Nothobranchius furzeri: one gene and its partner. The main gene of each other region encodes a partner of the protein of the gene in region 2 in a complex. Links are inferred from orthologs where the notes say so. Each region holds a gene or a part of one and is shown on either strand. Other genes may lie near its edges. The genes, in order: rac2 and ncf2.

Region 1 (4,580 bases), on a different chromosome or scaffold from region 2:
CATTTTGGCTCACAACAGTGTTTTACAAAAACAGTTTGCATGTCTTTTTTCTTCGCTTCTCTACCGCAAGCTGTCAGTAACAAGCGGAAAACCTTTGCAGCCTTAGCTCTTTTTAAACACAATCGGTTATTAAAAGGCCCCCGTGGCTCAAATTTGAGACACTGGAATGTATACAGTATAAATGCATTTTGATGTCTAATTATTAGGGAAAGCAAAATGACAATGAATGCTGATAGACTAAACAGCTGGAATTCAAATAAAAAGTTTTACTGATATTTTGGGGTGTCATTAATGCCATGAAGTTCATTATTTTGTTTTTACAACGTGATTATTTTTTTTACTGTTTTGCTGAAACATTTTCTGACATAGTATCCCTAATATGTCAGAAAATCTGATTTAAGTTTCAAGCCACAATAATAAATAATCCCACTTTAGGAAATCAGGGAGTTGAAACATTTTTTTCATCGCAACGTTTCAGCAAATATCTTAAATAATCATTGTAAAGCAAGAAAAGATTAAATCAGGTCTTACCCATTTTAGAATCTGTCATTTATATCCCAAAACAAATGAAAAAACAAATAAATGACAGAAAACTCCCTTGGCAACACAGTTGAGCATTAGGCTGCTTCAGCCTCCAGCGCAACAACTGAATGAAATATTTAATTACTTGAAGCCCCACCTCTTCCTCTTCCACGACAGGTTCACATGAGCACAAAGACAGACAATATGACCATCCTTCAGTACAAAAACATCTGGTTTAAGTACGCCGTGCAGCCCTGCACGTGGTCCTGAATAAATGATTCACTCAGAGCTCTAATACTGGGACTTTGATGTAAAGGTAATAAAGTGGGTTTTAATCTGGCATCATTTAGTTATTATAGTAAGAAATTTCTATTGTGTAAAAAATTAATCAGATTTTTCTTTGTTTTGAATATTTTTATATTTTTGTTTATCTAGAAATAAAACATTATTAGGAAACATTAGAAGGAAACCAGTAGATTACATTATGACCCAAAAACTGAAAATGAATGCCACCTGTGTTTTACAGGCCATTTTACCTTTCCCAGTCTAGGCTTTATCGTGGTGCCAAGGCGCCACCTGATGGCCACACCATGGTGTTACCTTCACCTCTGGTTTGTGACTACAGATGGTGGCTTTGAGTCTTTGTTTTGCTAACACCAAGTGTCACTCTAAAAATAACAAACCTTTGCGTAAATATAAAAATAAAGTGTAAATGCAATCATGTTTTGCCTGTGTGTGTGTGTGTGTGTGTGTGTGTGTGTGTGTGTGTTTTATGGTAAGCGACTCCGGTGATATTTTTTTAGTTTATTGTCGGCATCCATAGAAGCGCAAACGAAGTAGTAAGTTTCAGATAAAGCTGTTTTTATCACTTCAACTCCTTCCTCATTTTGCTCCGTGCAAAATTAAATCCATTTCAGCTTAAAGTATTGTTTAATTAATTCCCATAACTGAAATAGTGAATGGTCTATTTTAGGAGGAAAACTACACAAACAAAGGAGTAGAGGAAGGCAGGGTGAGTTATAAAACAACAGGTGGGGAGGCTGTCAAAAAAGAGGTAGCTCAGAGAGCGGAGAGGGAGGGAGGTGTGCAACAGTTTCCTGTAGTTGCATGCTCAGCTCTGAAACTTCCTCTGTCAGAGAGAAGAGGCGACGCTGAGCAGAACAGGATGCAGGCTATCAAGTGTGTGGTCGTAGGAGATGGGTACGGCTACATTTTACTTCACTTTATTTGTCCTAACTTAAACCGTGTTTACAGGTACGGAATTGGTCCCGATCATTCATGATGGACATGTTTGGACCTGAGTTCAGAATGTAGGAACTGGAGGACAAAATTGTCAAATCAAATAAGAGTTGCATCTACTTCCGCAGTGTCTGGATTCGTTGGGGGTAATTTTCTTGTAGAACATGTTGGTCCCAAGGTGTTTGTTTGACAGCACCGATCAGAGAAGTGGATGAGCTGTGCAGGTCACAACATGTAGAAAATGCTTCTGAGCAGCAAACCTTTAGCACAGGCCCCCTTTCTTCTGAGGAGGAGCTGAGAAATGTCAAGAAACAGCTGATTAAGGGGAACACCAGACAGAAATAATCAAAAATACTGAAATGTGAACTTATTTGGCTGAAACGGTGTAGGAAAGTTTGAATTGTGTCAGTATCCACTTTATTAACATGTCTCCATATTTAAAGCACAAATAAGTAACAGTAAAGAGACCATTTGTCATAAAAAGCCACATTAGTTTTGTGTCTAAGAGATCAATAACAGTTAGAGCGATGGAAGAGCCTCTCAGGTGCTGAAGCTGCTCTTCCTTGTGTGCTGAGCTTCCTGTTGTGTCTGATTTAGAAATGTAAAGCGAAGAAGAAAAGGAAGTTAGTGTGAACACGTGAACTTGTGTGCGTGACAGAAGCTTGGTGTATCTTTAGGTATTTTTTAATAAATGTGTACACATGGTCTCGTTCCCTCAAGGCAACAGGAATCAGAACCGCAGGGTTAGGTGGGGGGTCGCAGAAAATGATAATGAAGAGGAATTTGTGTGGGATGATTATTGGGTTTTTGATCAAAACAAACACATTTTGAAAACATTTTTTTCCGACAAAGGTCATGAAGTAACTTGTTAGAATTAATTCTCGTAATTAATTAAGACAATCTGTCAGTGGAAACTGGTGATATGAGTCATTTCTGCAGCACGCTGACTAAAATCCAAGCATCTCCTGTAGCAGAGTTTTGTTTTCTTTTCTTTTGTCTGAGTTTGTAACTCCACCATTTCAGTTTGAGCCTTTGTGGTGGAAACCCTTTAAAATAATCCTAACAGCTGGGATGATGGAGGAACACGTGTTTGCTGGTCTGACAAGAGGAAGCTTGTGTTAGGTTGGAGGGAAGTGTGTGAGTCTGTAGGTAGCCTTTGTGTGTAACTTTTTAAAATGTATTTACAGTTATATGTTCACTTGCAAAACTTTGAATTTTAACTATAAAATCAGAAGTTCATAAGTTGGCAGCTTGATTAAAAAAATAATAGATCACATGTTCTGGTTAAAAACATTGTAAAAACTTTAATCCAGAGATTTATAGTCACACCTAACATTCATGACTCACCCAGCTTAACTCGCAACGGGGAAGGCTGTTGTTGGTTTGGCGTGCAGGAAACAGCAGTAAACGTCTCAGCTAGGAGAAGCTATCTGTTAGCATTCGCAAGTCCACCACATGGCAGAACTCCTTCAGGTGTTATTTGTGAATAAAACATCAACGTTGCACAACAGAAGCAGTGGTAGGGTTGCGTTGCTGTTATCCAATCAGAGGTGAGATGTCCAAATATCAGGATATAAGACTCCAAATCCTGCTGAAGCTCAGCTGTGATGTGGCAATCTTGTAGTTCCTGCACGAAACAGGCGCGCCAGAGCTTTGTTTCCCCAGAGTACGATTCACAAGGCATTCATTACTACTAGAGGCCACTGCAAATGTATTAAAACTGAGCGAAGGACCTCGTTAAGTCAGAAACAGTGATAACACCACTGGAACTTAACTGCAACAGAGGTATTATTTTAAATTTCTTAGACTAAATGGGTTTTTCCATTAGTTTAAGAACCAATGTCCACCTAATCACCACAGATACTTAAAGTAAACATGAGGCAATGTAAATGACGAATTGTAAAAAGAAAGATACAACTTTACAAAGGGTTTCCCTTATGAGTGGCTAATAAATAGTTTATAAATATGTTATTAAGGACGAGAAAGAGAACACTATTTTGGCTCACCATTTTGACAGAAGCTGGTCACTTTTTTCTCTTTTCCCCCTTTTAAAGTATAATAAACACTGACCATAATTTATTGTGTTACAGATTTATTAATAATTTAAAATTTTTATTTATTAGCCATTTATAATTAGAGCCACAATGTAAAGCAGTAAAAAAATAATTAGTTTGATAAGAACGGAATTTTGTTCTGAGTGAGAAATTATGACACACCAAGTCTTACTGGTGGTATTGTGTTCAGATGTCGTCATGTATTCCTGTGATGTAATCAGTTGTGCAAAATTAGATACCGGTAATACACGTGACCTGGAAGACCATTTCAACTAAACTATTAAAGCTCAATTTTAACTATTAAATCTGATTTTTTTAATAATCTCAGTAACTGTGAGAAACAAATGAATAAACTCCACACAAATATAAAAAACATTACTTTGATTATTTCTTTGTAGACCATGTTACAAGTGCTGCCAAATCTCAAACTGTGAACATATTTATTTTAAAAATATGCTGCAAAAAATTAACCTAGCAGTGTTAATGGTCACTGCTCAGGCTACAGCTAAACATGTGCATAACAAACATCTTAAAGGGAACATATTATGCAAAAATCATCTTTTCCATCCTTTAATGCTGTGACATGTGTCCCTATTGCTTGTATAAATGCTCCAAACATTAAAAAACATCCATCCATCTCTCAGTTTGGTTTAGAAATTATGCCCCTTAAAACATGCTGTTCCAAAAAGTCCATGAATCTTACGTTTTTTTGTTTGTTTGTTTGTTTTTACATGGAAACACTCCTCACCTCTTCAAGTTAGATGA
Region 2 (2,962 bases):
TCACCCTGCCGCATCTCTTTTTATATTGCAAACATTTGGTAAAATCAATTAAATTCTTTATCCCTTCATTAATGTACACAGAGCACCCCATATTGAGAGAATAACTCAGAATTTTAGAGATTTCTGCAGGTTTATTAAAAAAGACAAACTGATACATCACATGGTCCTGAGTACTCAGACCCTTTGCTCGGTATTTAGTAGAAGTACCTTTTGAGCTAGTACAGCTATGAGTCTTCTTGGTAAAGATGCAACAAGTGTCTTACATCTAGATTTGGGGATCCTGTCATTCCTCCTGCAGATCCTCGCCAGTTCTGTCAGGTTGGATGGTGAACAGTGTGCCATTTTTAGGTCTCCAGAGAGGCTCAGTTGGGTTTAAGTCAGGGTTCTGGCTGGGCCTTTTAGTTGCTGTGAAGCCACCCCTTCGTTATTTTAGCTGTGTGTTTAGGGTCACTGTCATGTTGGAAGGTAAACCTTCAGCCCAGTCTGAGGTCCTGAGCACTCTGGAGAAGGTTCTGGTCCAGGATATACCTGTACTTGGCCGCATTCATCGTTTCCTCTATTGCAACCAGTCGTCCTGTCCCTGCAGCTGAAAAACACCCCCACAAAATGATGCTGCCACCGCCATGCTTCACTGTGGGGACTGTATTGGACAAGTGATGAGCAGTGCCAGGTTTTCTCCAAACATACCACTTAGAATTATGGCCATAAAGTTCTATCTTGGTCTAAGACCAGATAATCTTATTTCTCACCATCTCGGGGTCCTTCAGGTGTCTTTTAGCAAACTCAATGAGGATTTTTACGAGTCTTGCACTGAAGCGAGGCTTCCGACGGTCCCCTCTGCCGTAAAGCCCTGACTGGTGGAGGGCTGCAGTGACAATTTCTACAGCCTGCTTTAGGAAGCAAACATCTTCCATTTAATGATTATGGAGGCCACTGTACTCTTAGGAACCTTAAGAGCAGCAGAGATGTTTTGGTAACCATGGCCAGATCTGTGCCTCGCCACAATTCTGTCTCTGAGCTCTTCAGGCAGTTCCTTTGATCTCACGATTCTCATTTGCTCTGACATGCATCATGAGCTGTAAGGTTTTATATAGACAGATGTGTGTCTTTCTTAATCAAGTCCAGTTAGCATAATCAAACCCAGCTGGACTCCAATGAAGGTGTTGGACCATCACAAGTATGATCAGAAGAAATGGAAAGCACCTCACAGCAAAGGGTCTGAATACTAAAGACCATGAGATATTTCAGGTTTTCTTTTTCAATACATACATTTCTAAAATTCTGTGTTTTTCTGTCAATATGGGATGCCATGTGTACATTAATGAGGGGAAAAAAAGCAAATGGCTGCAATATAACAGTGAAAAAATGATGAGGGTCTGAATACTTTCCATACCCACTGTATGTATTGCATGAGATAAAAGTAAATCACATTTTATTACCCAACAAAAATATTTCACTTCTTATCACCTTGTGATAAATGGATCAGTCTTGTGAAAAATATGGGAATAAAAGCAGGTTTTATAGTGTATACCCAAACCAGGGGTCGTGTATGGTTAGGGGACTGTTTCAGCTTGGGCTACACAAATTAATGGCAGCATTAATACAAATGTGTAGTTGTGAGATCTACCTTTCCTCTCAGGTCTGGTTGGTGGTTCTTGACTCAGAGGTCTGGCTAAACCCTGATAATTGTTCCCAATCAAAATATGGGAAAAGGAAAAAAAAAACATTAAAGAAGTCAAGTTTCCATACTGTTCAACGTAGCCTAAGTAAATTTTAAAGAACAACGAGTTTTTCTGGACTATGTCCAGAGAAAATGATGCCGAACAGGAAGTCACTGATACAGCAGCCCTACCTTGTGTTGATTTGAAGCCAAGGAAATTTCCAAACGCTCTAGGTAATTGTAAGGAACAAGTCCTCTCTGTAATCGACATCATACTGGATAATAATCAATAGAACTTAAAAACATAAATTACTAATTCAGCCCATCCCTGATTTTAGTCCTACTCTTTCATTGAAGACCACGTAGGCCCAGTTGTCGTCACCCTTCTGCAGCACAAACACAATGTTTCCTGGCACAACAGCCAACTCATCACTGGTCTCAGGGTCAAACTCAAACAGCACGGTGTGTGGTTCTCCTTGTAGAGCTCTGTGGAGACGAGATGTCCACATGTCCTCGTGAGAAACAGAACAATTAGAATATGATGATTATATTTTATCTGCTGTTTGGTTTATCTATTTGGGACATGTTCACTTTCAGATCACAGCAAAAGAAAATCTAATACATGTTCAAACTGACCTCAAAACTTCTGGTTCTTTTGGAGAAGTTGGACCATCTTCGACCTAACAAAATACAGGACTTTCACTTTTAACCACCATTGCAAAAAGGCTTTATATTTCACATCGTAAAGAACTAATGTACATATGACGCTGCTCAGACTTCCCCTCGTCATGAGTGGATTTGATCTGCCCTGGTATATTAGAGGCTAATGAAACATTTATTTATCTTCTGAGGACTTTATTGGTCTCAGTTTGATTTGATTCCTCACCTGCGGTTGTAGCGGGGCAAACCCAGAGAACTCATCTTGTGGAACCACAGAGGAAACAACCTAATGTTTCGAAAAATACATTTTAAATGGAGTTTTATGCCGTTCTTCATCAATAATATATATCTGTAAATCTGAATAATCCACAATTAAAATGGATTATGTTAAAATCTGTGATTGTTGGTCTGGTTGTTATATGCATACCTTAGCTTTGCCCAGGTAGTCCTTTTTCTCCAGCTCAGCCACATAGTGCTTGTTTGGTCTAAACAGCATTTTCAAAGGGAATTCCACCGGTTTGAAAAGCTTTTGTTTCTGTCAGAAAAAAAAAACACATATTGAAAAGTATTACTTAAATTAATTTGAAAGATTTTGGGATTTTAGAAGATTCACTTACAGTGGGGCAAAAAAGTATTTAGTCA

What was found.
Region 1: ncf2 (region 2) and rac2 share a complex: the UniProt entries of both Homo sapiens proteins name them as parts of the phagocyte NADPH oxidase complex. The link is inferred for Nothobranchius furzeri from reciprocal best matches to the Homo sapiens genes NCF2 and RAC2.

Annotation. Positions count from the first base shown.
Region 1 is NC_091744.1:132,187-136,766, reverse strand, and holds the start of rac2 (ras-related C3 botulinum toxin substrate 2), read left to right. Parts: upstream 1-1,579; 5' UTR 1,580-1,687; coding exon 1,688-1,722; intron 1,723-4,580. UniProt on the Homo sapiens protein: Plasma membrane-associated small GTPase which cycles between an active GTP-bound and inactive GDP-bound state.
Region 2 is NC_091747.1:36,772,762-36,775,723, forward strand, and holds part of ncf2 (neutrophil cytosol factor 2), read right to left. Parts: intron 2,856-2,962; coding exon 2,748-2,855; intron 2,607-2,747; coding exon 2,547-2,606; intron 2,341-2,546; coding exon 2,297-2,340; intron 2,147-2,296; coding exon 2,005-2,146; intron 1,919-2,004; coding exon 1,853-1,918; intron 1,698-1,852; coding exon 1,628-1,697; intron 1-1,627. UniProt on the Homo sapiens protein: Subunit of the phagocyte NADPH oxidase complex that mediates the transfer of electrons from cytosolic NADPH to O2 to produce the superoxide anion (O2(-)).